Linked DNA regions of Sus scrofa. The protein of the gene in region 2 interacts with the protein of the main gene of each other region in a biochemical or structural test. Links are inferred from orthologs where the notes say so. Each region holds a gene or a part of one and is shown on either strand. Other genes may lie near its edges. The genes, in order: histone H3.2 and KDM5C.

Region 1 (7,339 bases), on a different chromosome or scaffold from region 2:
TGGGTGAGTTCCTTAATGAAAATCAGCGTACAATTAGAGAAACAGAAGAAAAATGCCATAGTCAATAATATACATTGTAGGGCTATCAACTACTAAGTTATACTTCATAACAAACATAAGAAATCAAGTCTTGAAGAATACTTTACGGAAACACAGAAGGAGAAATAAAGCCTAGAAGAATACTACTGTGTTTATAGAGTATGGACAAAGAATGTCACCTGCCATTTCAGTAAATAATAGATGCTGTGGCCAAAAAGCGATCAACCACTGCAGCCACCCCTACAGTGCACCCTGAGGGGATTCAGGATGGAGAAAAACAAGATGATGGCCCTGCAGAGTTAAGGTGCATATCAAAGGAATGGTTTCAATAAGCCCAGACTCTTGCATCTTCCTATACCTAAAAGCACTAAAAGCATTAACTTGAGATGTCTGTTTTCGTGATTAGCAGTTGCATTTTTTTAGAAAGAGATGGGGATCATGTTATTCAGATTCCTGCTGAAAGCAATCCAAGGGTTCCCAAAGTACTAAAACTAAAAGTGTGAGGCCAATCTCCTTTGCCCTCCCAGCCACTGGGGCTTTCTGCTGCTCTAACAGTTCAAACTTTTTCGTCCTTCGGAAATTATGCATATTTCGTTCCCATTGTATGGACATATCATTTAAATTGGGCAAGTTTTCTGAGTGATAATTCTCTAGGGAGGACACTATCACCAAATATTAAGCAGGTCTTATGTGATCTGATGAGATGAAGTAAAGAGAAGGCACCAGCATACCGGCTGATTCCTGGGGATCAAAATCAAGCTTCTATTTTCCTAATTGGGGAATCTACATATAAACAGGCTACACAGATACTTGTAAGTGCAGTATACACAAACTCATGGAATTTGTTAGTACCAAATCTAATAATTATCTTTTTTTGTACACAATAGAGCACATGGGTAAAAAAATTCTGCCACCAGCATTTTGTTCCTTAACACCAGACGGCTACACCTTTGAAGTTTTATGCTGCATGCAGAAGTTTATATACTACAAAAAAAGAAAAAAAGGCATTTTGCTTAACAACTTGGATGTAGACACATGCACTTGCGTTCAATCAAGTCCAAACCAGTTTCAAGAGCAGTTCTATGACAAAATATAGCATGCCTACCCTCCATTAGGTTCTTTCACCCAACTAGGTAAGCATACCTATCCGTCAAATATCTGGATGGAAATAGAATTTGTTTCTAACTACTGGCAACTCCCAGTATTAACTAGAAGAAACCAAAAGGCAAAGTAGGAAAACAGGACCCGGATAAAACAAGATGACAGCTTCTTCCATTGAGAAGATGGGTGGCTCTGAAAAGAGCCTTTTGGAGTCAAGCGACCCGGCGATCGGGCGAGCGCCACTATCCCGGCAGGGACTCACTTGGAGCTGGTGTACTTGGTGACCGCCTTGGTGCCCTCGGACACGGCGTGCTTGGCCAGCTCGCCGGGCAGCAGCAGGCGCACGGCCGTCTGGATCTCCCGGGACGTGATGGTCGAGCGCTTGTTGTAATGAGCCAGGCGGGACGCTTCGCCCGCGATGCGCTCGAAGATGTCGTTGACGAAGGAGTTCATGATGCCCATGGCCTTGGACGAGATGCCCGTGTCCGGGTGCACCTGCTTCAGCACCTTGTACACGTAGATGGAATAGCTCTCCTTGCGGCTGCGCTTCCGCTTCTTGCCGTCCTTCTTCTGGGCTTTGGTGACGGCTTTCTTCGAGCCCTTCTTGGGCGCCGGGGCGGACTTGGCGGGCTCAGGCATAACGGCAGACACCAGCTGCAAAGGACAACCGGGAACGCAAAGGCAACAACTACACGGAGGCTACCGGAAGCGACTCGGTACTTATAGAGGCCGTACGCAAATGAAGGCTTGGGTTCCGCCGCGTTGCGATTCGCGAGTTTTCAGTGGCTCTGCTGCGAGGGGAGACGAGGTTATGTAAATGAGTGGATTCTGGTTGCGCTATCCTATTGGCCACCGGGACACAGATGTGCTCTAGCCAATCAACGTGCTCCGTAGCCAATCGCCGCTCTGCCTATAAAAAGGTGAAGCGGGGCCGTTTAGGGCGACTTTCTCGGTCACCTAAGCGGGAGCCGGTTGCAGTGAGTGTCGTTGTCATGTCTGGTCGTGGCAAACAGGGAGGCAAGGCCCGCGCAAAGGCCAAGTCCCGTTCGTCCCGCGCAGGTCTGCAGTTCCCCGTAGGGCGGGTGCACCGCTTGCTGCGCAAAGGCAACTATGCCGAGCGGGTGGGGGCCGGCGCGCCCGTCTACATGGCGGCGGTGCTGGAGTACCTGACCGCGGAAATCCTGGAGCTGGCGGGCAACGCGGCGCGAGACAACAAGAAGACGCGCATCATCCCCCGCCACTTGCAGCTGGCTATCCGCAACGACGAGGAGCTGAACAAGCTGTTGGGCAAAGTCACCATCGCCCAGGGCGGCGTCTTGCCCAACATCCAGGCCGTGTTGCTCCCCAAGAAGACGGAGAGCCACCACAAGGCAAAGGGCAAGTGAGGCCGGCATCCGGAAGCCCACCCAGCCCCGTCCGGAAGGGGCACCTGTGAAATCAAAGGCTCTTTTCAGAGCCACCCACTCTTTCAAATAAAAAAAAGAGTTGTTACACTAGCCAGCTTTCTCCTTAACTCCACCCTTGGTAGTAAGCACGGAGGTGGGCGGAGGGAGTGCCGTTTGCCCTCTACTCCCTGCCGTTCCTCACTCGCCTCTGGAACTAGGTGCTTTAGCCGTTATTTTGCTGGGAAGCGGGTGCGGGTGGGAGTGTGGCAAATCCTAGGATCTAATTAACGCAGGTAGAGGTAGCAAACCTTGCTTGGGCGAGCCAGGGTCGACTCGGCTGCTGAAAGTAAGCAGTACCAGGCGGCCGCGACGCTCTATCTCGAAGTCGGATGCCCGGTGAGCAACTGCAGTTACTTCCCAAGCCTCTGCCCAACACCTGAGGTCTAGCACCAAGGGGACGTTCCCTCGCACACGCGCACGCCCCGTACACCCCAGTCGGTTAGGGGATAAAGACGGTTTTCGGGAGCGTAGCGGACGTGGGTTTTGGCTTGAGCCCACCGTCTTTGGAAGGGGAGTGGGGGGAGTGAGGAGGCGCCTTCGCGGCGGGGATGGGGATAACAGGTCCTGAGGCTCTCGGAAGTGGAGTCTTGCTCCCGGAGAGGGCGCAGATAACCTTCCGATCCGAAAAGCACCAAAGGGCCGGGGGGCGGGGGGGGGAAGATCGGCCAGACTAGCAGCTAACCTAGGGGGTTCTGACAAGGTAACAAGGCGTTCAGGGGGCGGGGGTTCGGTCCGGGAGGTAAAAAGCGTGGAAAGGAGGCGGGCATCGGGGGTAGCGTGTTCTAAGGGAGCGAAGGGCTGAAGAGGAACGTTCTGACACAGTCGCGCTCAAAAATGACTCTCGCCGGGAAGAAAGGAAAGACGAGGCCGGGAAAACTGCTGGCAAACTGGAAAGTAGAAAGGGAGGGAGGGAGGGAGGGTGGGGGGCGGGCGGAGGAGGATTCTGCCCAAGCCAATCAGTGGCGCTAGGGCTGGTGAGGTCACAGCCAATAGAGAGCCAGCGCGGGACTTTCAATTATTGTCCCGCCCAATCGGGACAAGCCTGTGCCTATAAAGACTGCTGCGGCGGGCGTCCCCCTGGTTACTCTCCCTTCGCTGCGCTGGTAAGCTCGTGTTTTGGCTCGCCGCCATGGCCCGTACTAAGCAGACTGCCCGCAAATCGACCGGGGGCAAGGCCCCGCGGAAGCAGCTGGCCACCAAGGCGGCCCGCAAGAGCGCGCCGGCCACCGGCGGCGTGAAGAAGCCCCACCGCTACCGGCCGGGCACCGTGGCCCTGCGGGAGATCCGGCGCTACCAGAAGTCGACCGAGCTGCTGATCCGCAAGCTGCCCTTCCAGCGCCTGGTGCGCGAGATCGCGCAGGACTTCAAGACGGACCTGCGCTTCCAGAGCTCGGCCGTGATGGCGCTGCAGGAGGCGAGCGAGGCCTACCTGGTGGGGCTGTTTGAAGACACGAACCTGTGTGCCATCCACGCCAAGCGCGTGACCATCATGCCCAAAGACATCCAGCTGGCCCGCCGCATCCGCGGGGAGCGGGCTTAGAGAAAGAAGTGCGCACTCGGCTCGAGGTTCCATCACATCCAAAGGCTCTTTTCAGAGCCACCCACAACCGCACTTGGAAGAGGCTGTGCCACTTTTCCGCGCTCTGTCCGGCGGACTCTCCCATAGCTCGGGGAAGGGAGGATGTTCGAGCCGGCAGAAGCACTGACTGGGCTCCGGGTACCCAAGTGGGTTAGAGGCCAGGTGTCCGGTCTAGCCCCCTGCTTGCTGGCCGCCTCCTGGCGCGTTAGAAGCTTTTGAGTCCTTCAAGAGTTTGGTCAGCTGGCTTCTCCGCTTTCTTGGGCGCGGCCATGGGTCCTCCTCAAAGGGCAAGGCGTCTCCACGGCGGCCCAGAACCGTAGTCTGTTCCAGGGAGGGGCGGGGGGGGCGGGGAGGACGGGTTGAGGCCGGGCGGGGTCACTAGGGGACGCTCAGGATTCGCGCTCCAGGGCGCGCAGGGGCCTGGCCTTTTACGCAGCTGGGAGCCGCGCGAGTATGGGTGCGTCGTCACTCCCCCCACACCCACGCCAACCCGGTGCGTTTCTCTGGCTCGGGAGGGAAATGGCCACCTCCGTCCGTCTGTCCATCCGTCCTCGTTTCTGTCGGGTAAAACCAGGCAGTCCTGCCTTTCAAGGGTTTGTGATTTGGGTCCTCCCTACCACCCTCTGCTTTCCCCCCCTCTCCTTTTGTCTTTATGCCTGCATCCTCAGCACCTGGAAGTTCCCAGGCTAGATGTCAAATCGGACCTCTAGCTCCTGGCCTATACCGCAGCTGTAGCAACGCTAGATTACAGCCTCTTGTGAGACCTACACGGCAGCTCAGGGCAAGGCTGAATCCTTAAACCACTGAGCAAGGCCTCGGATCCAACCCTCGTCCTCTTGAATACTAGTCCGGTTTGTTATCACAGGACCATGAGGGGAACCTCCACTCTGCTTCTCATCAAAAGTCGGAATGGCAGAGTTCCTGTCGTGGCTCCTTGGTTAACGAATCCGACTAGGAACCATGAGGTTACAGGTTCGATCCCTGGCCTTGCTCAATGGGTTAGCGGACTCGCCGTGAGCTGTAGTGTAGATCCCAGACGCGGCTTGGATCCCGCGTTGCTGTGGCTCTGGCATAGGCTGGTGGCTACAGCTCTGCTTGGACCCCTAGCCTGGGAACCTCCATATGCCCCAAGAGCAGCCCAAGAAATGGCAAAAAAAAAAAAAAAAAAAAAAAAAGTCGGAGTGGCTAGCAGGGTGCTGTCCAGACCTTAGGTCTATTTTTGTGAGCTGGGCCTTAAACTGGCTGTTTTTCTGTTCCATTTCACTGAGTGAGTCTCACCTCCCTGAAGTAATTTCTAAACGCTTCAATTGTATCTGGGTTCTCTGTCAATAGTTGGTAGTATCTTGTTAATACGTTTTTTTCAGTCATGTGGGAAGTCTGTCCTCAGGTTTTGGATTACTCGGTGAAAGGACAAAAGTGGGGTTCTGAGTTCTGGGAGATCAAACAGGCAGAACATGGTCCTCTTTTGAGGAGATGAAGTTTCCCTCTGAAGGAGGCCTTAGAGATGATTTTTGTACATTTGGGAAGTGCAGGGCCTCTAGTGGGCTCAGAGTGAAGACAGGGTCTTGCAGAGCCCATCTCCACAAGTTCAGATACAAAGCTGTACAGATCTTAGGTGACAACTCTTCTTAACCTTCTTAAACTTGGAAGAAGCTAACTTGTTTTCTGTTTTGTCTTGGTTCAGTGGCAGGTGAAAAGCATTAACTGATGAGTGAGAATTCACAGAGGACATAGGGAAAAGGAAGGATACTTAGTTTTGTTTTTCTTTCTTACTGTCACATGTAGGAGTTGAATTCGAGCGGCAGCTGCAGCAATGTGGGATCCTTAATGCACTGAGCAAGGCCTGAATGAACCCACATCTTCACAGAGGCAACATGGAGCCCTTAACCTGCTGAACTGCTGAGCCACAACTGGACTCCAATTTTTTTTTTTTTTTTTTTTTAAGCTCCTGTTGCCTCTTTTGAGATGTGCGAGAAATGGGGAGAGCAGTATATAGACTGTGGCCCTCCTGCTACAGTTTGCCACATGTTTCTGCTTCAGCCAGCAGTCACAGCAATTTCCAGAGCATGCCTCCCAGGGCTCTGCCCAGACCGTTATTACCTGCTTAGTCCCCCACTGCAGGATGGATTCAGCCTGGGTCTGTACTCTTCTGAGTTAAGAAGTAGAGACTTAAGGGGGGTGGCATTATATTTACACCTGCTATCTCATCCATCTTCCTGGTAAAATTTTAGGGGACATACAGACATAGGGCTTTCTGAGGTACAGCTTGAAGTTCTCAGGTGAGTAAGTGACTTGTTCATGATCTCGGGTCCAGGAACAGTTGAACAGACTCTGGAAACTTCAATGTCTGTGTCAGGTGTCAGTGCTCCACATCCTCGGCCTGCCTCTGATATCACACTGCTTTATTTTACCAATTAGGACACCCTTAACATCAAGGAAGTCTTTCATTATTAATCGCATGCAAGGGAAATTAATTTAGTGGCATTTTCGATATCCAGTCAGGAGTAGAATAAAATTTTGTCTTCCTGTCAGTATAAAGAAAGGCCTACCCTCACAGCATCCTTTCAAATCTTTTTATTTGTTTGAGAGACTGGTATAAACTGAGTTCATTGATATCAGAGTACAGTTTAAAATGAGTGTTTTATCATTTAATCATTTCTGTACTTAAATCATTCCCTACTCTCAGAGGAGAGAGTTAAAGAATAAGGACAAGGTAAATAAATGCTTTTCCTCTAGTCATTAGCTTCTACACGGCTAGAATAATTGCAAGGAAAGTCTACTCCAAACCCCTGGGATTTTTAAGAATAGAAAAACAGGAGTTCCCTTTGTGGCGCAGTGGTTAACGAATCCGACTAGGAACCATGAGGTGGCGGGTTCGGTCCCTGCCCTTGCTCAGTGGGTTAACGATCCGGCGTTGCCGTGAGCTGTGGTGTAGGTTGCAGGCGCGGCTCGGATCCCGCGTTGCTGTGGCTCTGGCGTAGGCCGGTGGCTACAGCTCTGATTCGACCCCTAGCCTGGGAACCTCCATATGCCGCGGGAGCGGCCCAAGAAATAGCAACAACACCAACAACAAAAAAAAAGAAAAACAGTCTTTGTGGGTTCTTGTTGTGGCTCAGCAGGTTAAGGACCTATCATTGTCTCTTAAGAATGCAGCGTTGCTGTAAGCTGCAGTATA
Region 2 (8,428 bases):
CCTGGATTGAGGGGATACTCTGAGGTCCAAAAAGCCTGGAGATGCTGGGAACTACCTATAGGAAGGGCAGGGCAGACAGAGAGTAGGGTGGTAAAGCAGCAGCTGGCTAGAGCCATGAGCAGGAGAAATGCTGTGGAGGTGGAAACAAAGGACACATATCTAAAAGTCTGTGATAAAAGTTTTTTTGAAATGTGGTAAGGGTTAAATAGCTACATATTTATATAATTATAATTATGTATATATATATGGATCTTAGCTGTATGGATCCTTAAGGAGAACCTTGTTCTACTCTTACAAGTCTCCTTGATATTGTGGAAAAGAACTGATGCTATGCTGTGGGTCAGGAAGAAAGGAGTCTAAGGGAAGGTCAGACTCAGTGTCTATTTTTGAGAAGCTTATGGTCCTTGATCATTTTCACATCTCGAGCCCTGTAATTACTGAATGGAGTGAGGTAGAAAGGGAAAGGATACTCCCCCTCACTTCCTCAAGTGGAGGAAGGTGGCCACAACTGTGGTAGAATGTTGTTTCTTCTAAATACCTAGATACCCTAATCTTTGATTAGTAACACTAAGATATGTAATAAAAAATACTACTCACAGATTATATAGTATACCAAAACAAGCTGAAGGTGAGAAGAAATTCAGGTGAGGACCACTTGACCTAGTCCACAGTCCTACTGTACAGATGACCAGGGATTTCAAGGAGAAATTAATTCAGAGAGTACTGACTATCTACCATGTCCCATGCATTAGACTAAGTAGACTAAGTGGCAGGACAGCCAAGGCTGCTGGGGCAGGCATGTTTGAAGGAGATGGGGGAGGATTAGCAGCAGAGAATAAGACTCAAAGCAGAGGTACTCACCCCTGCTCTTACAGGATTGTTGATCAGGTTGTTTTAAGATTCATACTAGAAAACTGGCTGATGCTATTCAATTTTAGAAATTCCCTGGAATATAAAGCCCTTTATAGGTAAGCCAGGTTGTATACCCTGAATGGGAGAGAAGTCCATAGAGAAGGAGAACAGGACAAGCCAGGACTCTGGGTTCAGCTTTTTTTTCTTTTTTTAAATGCTGAAAGATACTGGCACTTTTTTTAAGGTTACTTTTTTACCCCAGCTTTACTAAGATATAATTAACATATAATAACTGTGTAAATTTAAGGTATACAACATGTTGATTTAATACACTTATATATTGCAAAATAATTACCACCACAGACCTCTGATCTGTTAAATAAGTAAAAAGACCTACCTACTGCTTGGAGAACGGTTACAATATGGAGGGTACAGCAAAGACTGGTAGTTGTCCTCCTATATTTATTCTTACCCTCTTTCATAATAACATAACTTCCAATTTGTGGCTGGTACATGACCATCCTTAATAAAAATTAGATTTTCCAGTTTTCCTTGTAGCTAGATGTGGCCATGTGACTAAGCTGTGACTAACAGGAGATGAATGGAAATGATGTATGCCTTTAGAAGTTAAGACGACTTGTCTTGCCTGGTCCCCCCTACATTTCCCTCTCCCACTGACTGGAATGTAGATGTGGTAAGAAGCCTTCCCTAAGGCGCTGCTCTCAAACACCTGGCCCAGAGCGCACATCATCACATTGTATATCTAATCACTATTATTTTGGGTCTCTATTAGAGCCATCAAACCTATAGTCCAATTTAGAAAGAAAAGGAATGAGAAAGAGACAGGGGTAGATTCCAGACAATCACCACCACTACCACCACAAGTCATCACTAACTCATTCCTACCCCTTGCTCCTGTTTCCTGGGTACTCACCGGCACACCATGGGACATGAGGGTGTTGGGATTCATGAGGGTGACAAGTTGGTGCAGAAGATCAGGCTGGCTATCAAAGAGCTCAGGTGTCAGCTTCTTCATCACCTCTTCCAAATGTTCTGCTGCAAGTGAGGGTACCCCATACCAGGTCTTCGGCTCACCCCTGGCCAAATAGAAAGGGGACAGTCAGAGTGGGCACACCTGTGGTACAGAAGGAGCCCCACTCTGACTGTTTCCCTGGCTTCCCAGGACCCCAACTCACCAATGGAGGTAGTTAATGGAGTAACTCCAGTGATCCTCAATATGCCAGCAAAAGGCTGAGAAGACCATGCCTACATAGAGCCAGGGCACCTTCATGCCAGAGATATCTGCATTGATGTGGCACAGTACAGACTGCTCCAACACTGGCATCACATTCAGGTTCCAACCACTTGTAGCATATTCCTGTCGGGTGAGGTATTTGTGGAAAAGGGATGAGGGTTTTGCTAAGATGCTGAGATCTTTAGCCCAGGGAACCTTAATTTTGAAGCCACAGACCTTTCTGAAACATCTAAGAAATACTACAGGTTTTCTCCCAGCCGCTCTCAAATGCATACACACAAAATTTCAATTCACTTCACTTTACTTCAATTTTAGGGAGGTTTATAGATATACCTATCCACCAAATACCTGCAAGTTAAAAGCCCTTGCTCTGGACAAAAATGCATACTTCCCCTTGAAACAGGCCTAGGCCCTCATTTTTTCCCTGCATTTATAATCCCAGTCCCTGAACACTTTTTATGAATGAGCCGGGCACCCTGCCAGGCACGTTCGCATACTTTCTTATTTAATTGTTTGTTTGGTTTTTTTTTCATATGGAGGTTCCCAGGCTAGGGGTCGAATCGGAGCTATAGCCGCCGGCCAACGCCACAGCCACAGCCACTCCAGATCCGAGCCAAATGTGCAACCTACACCACAGCTCACGGCAATGCAGGATCCCCAATCCACTGAGTGAGGCCAGGGATCGAACCCGCAACCTCATGGTTCCTAGTTGGATTTGTTGCCACTGTGCCACAATGGCAACTCCCTCTTTTGTTATAAAATTCATGAGGTGACTACTACCCCCACTTTACAAACAAAAGAAAAAGCCAATCTCATGTCAAGAGATTCTATACTAGATACTAGACTGTGTTCTTTACATACGTCATCCCATCTAAATCTCACAGCAACCACATAAGGCAGGTATAACTGTCCCTATCCTATAGAGATACTGCGTTTTTCAGATACTAAAATAACTTGCCTAAGCTTACACATCTCACATATAACCATGAATCATCTACTCACCTCCTCCTCAGGGGTTAGGTGCCGCTTACTGTCACTGACAGGGAAACCACTACCAAATTCTTTGGAATGGATGTCAGCCCCATACTCAACAGTCACATCTTCCTCAATGCTATTCACCAGCCGCCAGAATTCCTTCTCCACGAGTTCTGTGGGCACCATCTAGGAAACAAGGGTAGCAGATGACCACGGCTCATCACGTCCTGGCCCCATTGACCCAGGAGAGCTAAGACCATCAGGCACCAAACACCTACGACCCTAGCCCTGACACTACCCCAGCCCTCCATCACCTACGTGTACGGGCATGTTGAAGTAATCGGCTTTAAAGGAGTCAGCCATTTCGCCAAAGCTCTGCAGAGTGTATTCCCGGGTAGCCTGCTCAAAGCCAAAGGCTTCGGGGGGGCGCTTACACTCCTGAAACCCAAAGGAGAACATGTCACCAAGGCAGAGGCATAGAGGTGGAGAATCCTCAAAAGCGGAGCTAGAATATGGGGGGTAGGAATAAGGAGGGAGAACAGCCCTAGGTCTGTACTGAAGGCCCCTGAGGCAGGCCTCATGTCATAGCTCTACCTTTTTCTCCTAGCACTTCAGTGTAGTCGGTCTCTTCATTCCCCACACGTATTTCTACCATGGTTTTACTCTTCCTTCAGGGCTTTAGTATCTAAACCACGGGCTCTGACTTAAACATACTACCCTATGCTCTTCTGCCACTTTTTCTTTCGAGATAAAATGTGAGTTTATACAATGCTTAGAGAGGTTTTTCTATGCCCAGACTGGAACTACAGGCCTGGGAACATGTCACCAAATACTCTAGTAGCTTGGAGGATGGGAAACTAATGCACTAGCTTCCAGTGTCAAACTCCACACTATTCCTGTTCTTTACTGTCTCAGTAGACAGGATATGTCTAACTCACTTGTTCCAAAGCTCACGGTTTTAGATGAGAGGTGTGTGTACCCCAGAGTCAGGCAGACCTCCTGCTCCTGTCTGAAAACAATGCCAATTTGGTCCACTGACCCACCGCCACTTAGAGAAGCATGCCAAGAAGAGCTGATAGTCTTTGTTGTCAAGATACTGCTGGTATCCAAACTCCTCCCTAAAGGAATCCCCACCACTACTAAGGCCATTACACACTGCCCTGGTCTCCTTCCTCATCTGTCTGTGTTTGTGTGAATGCACATGCACACCTGGTCTCTAAGACCACAGCTGTCTCTCTAAGATAGGGCAAGAGACTATCGATGTCTACTCTCCAGAAATCCAGAGAGATAGAGATGAGCACCTGGAATTTGGATGAAGGAAGGTAGGAGGCTCATGAAACAGACCTGGCAGACTTCCCAGGCTCTTAGCCCTCACTGCTGCTTCACCTGCTTTCCCCGCTGCCTCTCTTGTACTAGGTACATTCTCCCCATACACCCTTGCTCTTGCAACCCTCCACCCACCAAGGGCTCTAGAAAGCCTGCCCATCTCATGTAGTTAAAGTCTACAACATTGCAAACCAATCTAATTATCACAACAGAAGGAAAACGACTAAACATTATACCCACATGATGGGACCCCTACAAGGAAAAAAAAAATCATACCCGTGAATAATTTAATTATACAGAAAAGTGATTATAAAGTAACAAATGAAAATGTGCAATAAGATCCCAAACTTGTTATATAAGATAGTTATATATATGCAATAATGAAAAGATGAGAAGAAAATATACCAGACTATTAATAATGGCTGTCTCTAGGTGGTGTGATGATACGTAATTTGTCTATTTTCCAAGCTTTCTAAAAGAAACAAAGAATACAGAACTTGGAAATCAAAATAACATTTTTTCCTTCATATTCCTGTCCTCCAAATCTCATTGCTGACACCTTCTCTTATTACTACCCTCAGTCATCTTCCTCTTCCTCTGGACTTCTACACCTGAGTTTTTGAACAAACAACTTAACATTTGATTATACATCTTCACATACAATGTCTAACCATGACTCTCACAACCCCAGGCGGTCTGAGAGCTCCCAGAGAACACAGGGTAAGTGTCCTCCTCTTCTTTCTCCCAAAGCTGTGCCTCTAGCCTAGCCCCACCCTAGGGACCCAAACAGAAGCCTGTGGCTGAGCTAGGAGGCTGCTCTAAGACCAGATGAAGAAAGGCAAAGACAGCCTATGAGGCAAAGACTGGGGCTAGGAAGTCCTTACCGCCATGACACACTTTGGGCACCGCCAAACACCCTTGGGAATCTCAGGCAAAGGAGGCAGCAAGCAGAAGATGTGGTAGTTGTCATCACAGCCATCACACAGCAGGAGCTTGTCGTCCTCATCCCCTCGGGAACACATCCGGCATACATATGACTCAATCTGCCAGGGGAGGGAGGCAACAGTTCATTAACCTAAGCCCTGTGCAGCCTTTCAACCACCAGACTCCTCTAGACAGTAACCTAGTCCACAGAGATCTCCATTAGAAACCCACTGTACTTGCTGGCTGGCTGATTCATGGCCCTATACAGGTCAGTCATGCTAGCTCTGGAGTTTAACTACGTGCATGTACCATCTCCCCCAAATAAACTGGGAGAGCTCTGACAGCAGAGTCTATCATTCAGTCTTGAATCCCTCATTTTTATTCATTCAATAAACACTGAATACTTATGCTCAACATTATGCCAGACTCTGCAGTACAGTGATAAATAAGACATGGTATCTGCCTTTTCTTTCTTTTTTAAATGGCTGCACCTGTGGCATATGGAAGTTCCTGGGCCAGGGACTGAACCCAAGCCACAGATGCAGTAACGCTGGATCCTTTAACACACTGCACCATGCTGGGGATAGAACCTGCACCTCCGCAGCACCCCGAACTGCTGCAGTCAAATTCGTAACCCACTGCACCATGGCAGGAACTCCAGCATCTGCCTTCTAAAGGCATGCAGTACTCTAGAGGCACAAGTTCATAAAAATTAAAGGACAGTGTGGACACTGCCAATAGCAGCCTACAAAAGGGTACTATGGGAACCTAAAGGAGGAAGCATCTGAATCAGCAGGAAATAAGTAGAGACAGCCCCGAGGAAGAACTTCACTGAAAAGGTGATGTTTGAAGCTGACTGGAACCTAAAGGTAAACTGAAATTTGGCTATGGGGCAGAGCACAAAGGGAAACGCTTCTAGGCAGAAGAAACAGCATGTGCATAGGATGGGAAAAAGAAAGCATGGCACATCTTGGGGGAAAAAAACAAACATACCTACAAGTAGTTCAGTGTGGCTATAGCAGAGTGAGGTGGGCAGTGCTGGGGAATGAGGCTAGAGGTCAGCAGGGACTGGATCATGCATGGTAATGAGAAGCTTAGACTTTATCCTGAAGCAATGGAGAGGGAGTCTCCTTCTCCGCACCCTTCCAGCACTTCATGTTGACAGCACTTGATCACCCTTTCTTGCTCTTTGTTCCATGTGAGTTGGCCTTGTTTCCCCAATTAAGTGAGCTACCTGAGGGCAGGGCCCACCAGGCCCACTTTTCTGCTTAATGCAACCTGGTCCAATGCCATGCTGGGGAAAGGCTCGTTGAAGGGATGAGAAGCAGAACATTAGGAAGTCAGGGCTGGGTCCTTACAAACTGGGCATTGCTGTGGTTCCTCCGCAGCCTCATGGTCATCTTGGTGCAGGGCTCTGGGCTGTGACTCAGCTCCTCCTTGCTCTCCAGGAAGGTCTTGGGTGAAGTTGACTCCACCTTCACATCCCCGCCTGACTCCTCCTTCACCACTACTGTTGGGGGGCACTCAGGCCCTTCCTTATCTGGGAGAGAGAGAAATGACTCTACAGTTCAGGAGGTCTGAATAGTCAGGGCCACCTCCTCTCCCTTCACACTGCCCAGCCTGCCAGGCCTCACCTTTCTTCCGCAGAGTCTTATCCTTGGCCATGAGGCCCAGGCCCATCATCTTGGGGCCTGCCCCATAGATCTGAAGCTTCTTCAGTTCAGGGTTCTTTTCAATGTCTTCCTCTGTGGGTTCCGGCTGTAAGGAAAGAAGGAGATGAATCAAGACTGCTATCTGGGGCAAACTGCCCCATCCTAAAAGAACAATAGCTTGGGACTACATATATCACCTGAGCTCATGGCAGGTATGGGGCATAGGTGGGCCAGAGCAAGAATTCAGATTGCTTTTTGGAGACTGGGATAAGTGAACTCCCTCCTCATCCCTCTATTGGAAAGGAAATAAGAGAGGATCTCAGTTTTTCCAACTGTAAAGTGAGAATATTAACTCCCACATTACAGTTACAAGGGGATTTGAGGATATAAAGAAATCTAAGTGCTCGACGCTACCAGTTAGGTGGCAGTGACTAATATGATCTGGTAAATTACATGCTTTGCTGAGCCCAGGGACAGTGTCTATCTTGTTCTCTGTTGTATCTCCAGTGTCTAGAAGAATGCCAGCACATAAGCTTCTGCCTGAAGCTAGGGTATAGTACAAGGAGAATGAAATCTACCCCTCTGAGCAGAGTGAGTCAAGAAGGGAACAAGACAGGCAAGAACAGCAGACATAGAAAAGATATTATACGAACAAAACCCAGCCCAGACGCTCAGCTGAGAATAGAGGAAGAACAAGAGGGAAGCCTGAGAGAGGCACACTACTGTTAGAACCGAGAGAAGGGAGAGTGGACCAGGGAACAGGGCCTCGGCCACAGGGAGGGCAAGGACTCTACCTCCAAAGTTCTAAGTTAGAAGAAGGGAAATACTCACATCAGGCTGCAGTCTCTTGGCTCGCCGGCCATAACTGTTGAACTTGGAGGGTTGTACAGACTGTCGAAGGGGGATACTGTGGGGTTTATATTCCTTGTCCTTCTCTTCATTATCAAATGGACGTGTGTTGCACTGCTGGGGACAGGTAAGGGGTAAGGGTCAGGGCATGGGGCCCCAGCCCCTAACAGCAAAGACTTCTTCTACCCTCGCCCAATGGCAACCAAAGCTCTGGTTTCACCCTCCTCCCCACAACCTGCACCAATAGGTCCTATTCAAATGGTGTTTACCACAGATACCAGCACACACTTTGAGAATTCTCATGCCTTTATTTATGCTATCCCTCCTTCCAACCACCTCCCCTCAACCACCTCCCCAACTAAATCAGACTTCATCTCTTCCCAGACCTCTCCAGGTCTCCAGTCCACAGAACCAGTTCCACTAAGAACAAGTGTGGCAGGAAACTATATTCAGTATCCTGTGATAAACCATAATGGAAAAGCACATGAAAAAGAATATGTATGTATAAATGAATTACTTTGTTGTATAGCAGAAATTAATACAATATTATAAATTAACTATACTTCAATAAAAAAAAAAAAAAGAACAAGTGCAG

What was found.
Region 1: the proteins of KDM5C (region 2) and histone H3.2 form a complex in vitro, tested with the Homo sapiens proteins (3 studies listed by BioGRID, with this or other methods). The link is inferred for Sus scrofa from reciprocal best matches to the Homo sapiens genes KDM5C and H3C15.

The regions. Positions count from the first base shown.
Region 1 is NC_010446.5:99,195,529-99,202,867, forward strand, and holds histone H3.2, read left to right. Parts: upstream 1-3,714; coding exon 3,715-4,125; downstream 4,126-7,339. Other genes in the region: histone H2B type 2-E, read right to left, coding at 1,399-1,779; histone H2A type 2-A-like, read left to right, coding at 2,004-2,525. UniProt on the Homo sapiens protein: Core component of nucleosome. Nucleosomes wrap and compact DNA into chromatin, limiting DNA accessibility to the cellular machineries which require DNA as a template.
Region 2 is NC_010461.5:45,986,964-45,995,391, forward strand, and holds part of KDM5C (lysine-specific demethylase 5C), read right to left. Parts: intron 7,951-8,428; coding exon 7,816-7,950; intron 7,091-7,815; coding exon 6,967-7,090; intron 6,873-6,966; coding exon 6,691-6,872; intron 5,452-6,690; coding exon 5,293-5,451; intron 3,521-5,292; coding exon 3,401-3,520; intron 3,269-3,400; coding exon 3,110-3,268; intron 2,231-3,109; coding exon 2,049-2,230; intron 1,950-2,048; coding exon 1,787-1,949; intron 1-1,786. UniProt on the Homo sapiens protein: Histone demethylase that specifically demethylates 'Lys-4' of histone H3, thereby playing a central role in histone code. Does not demethylate histone H3 'Lys-9', H3 'Lys-27', H3 'Lys-36', H3 'Lys-79' or H4 'Lys-20'.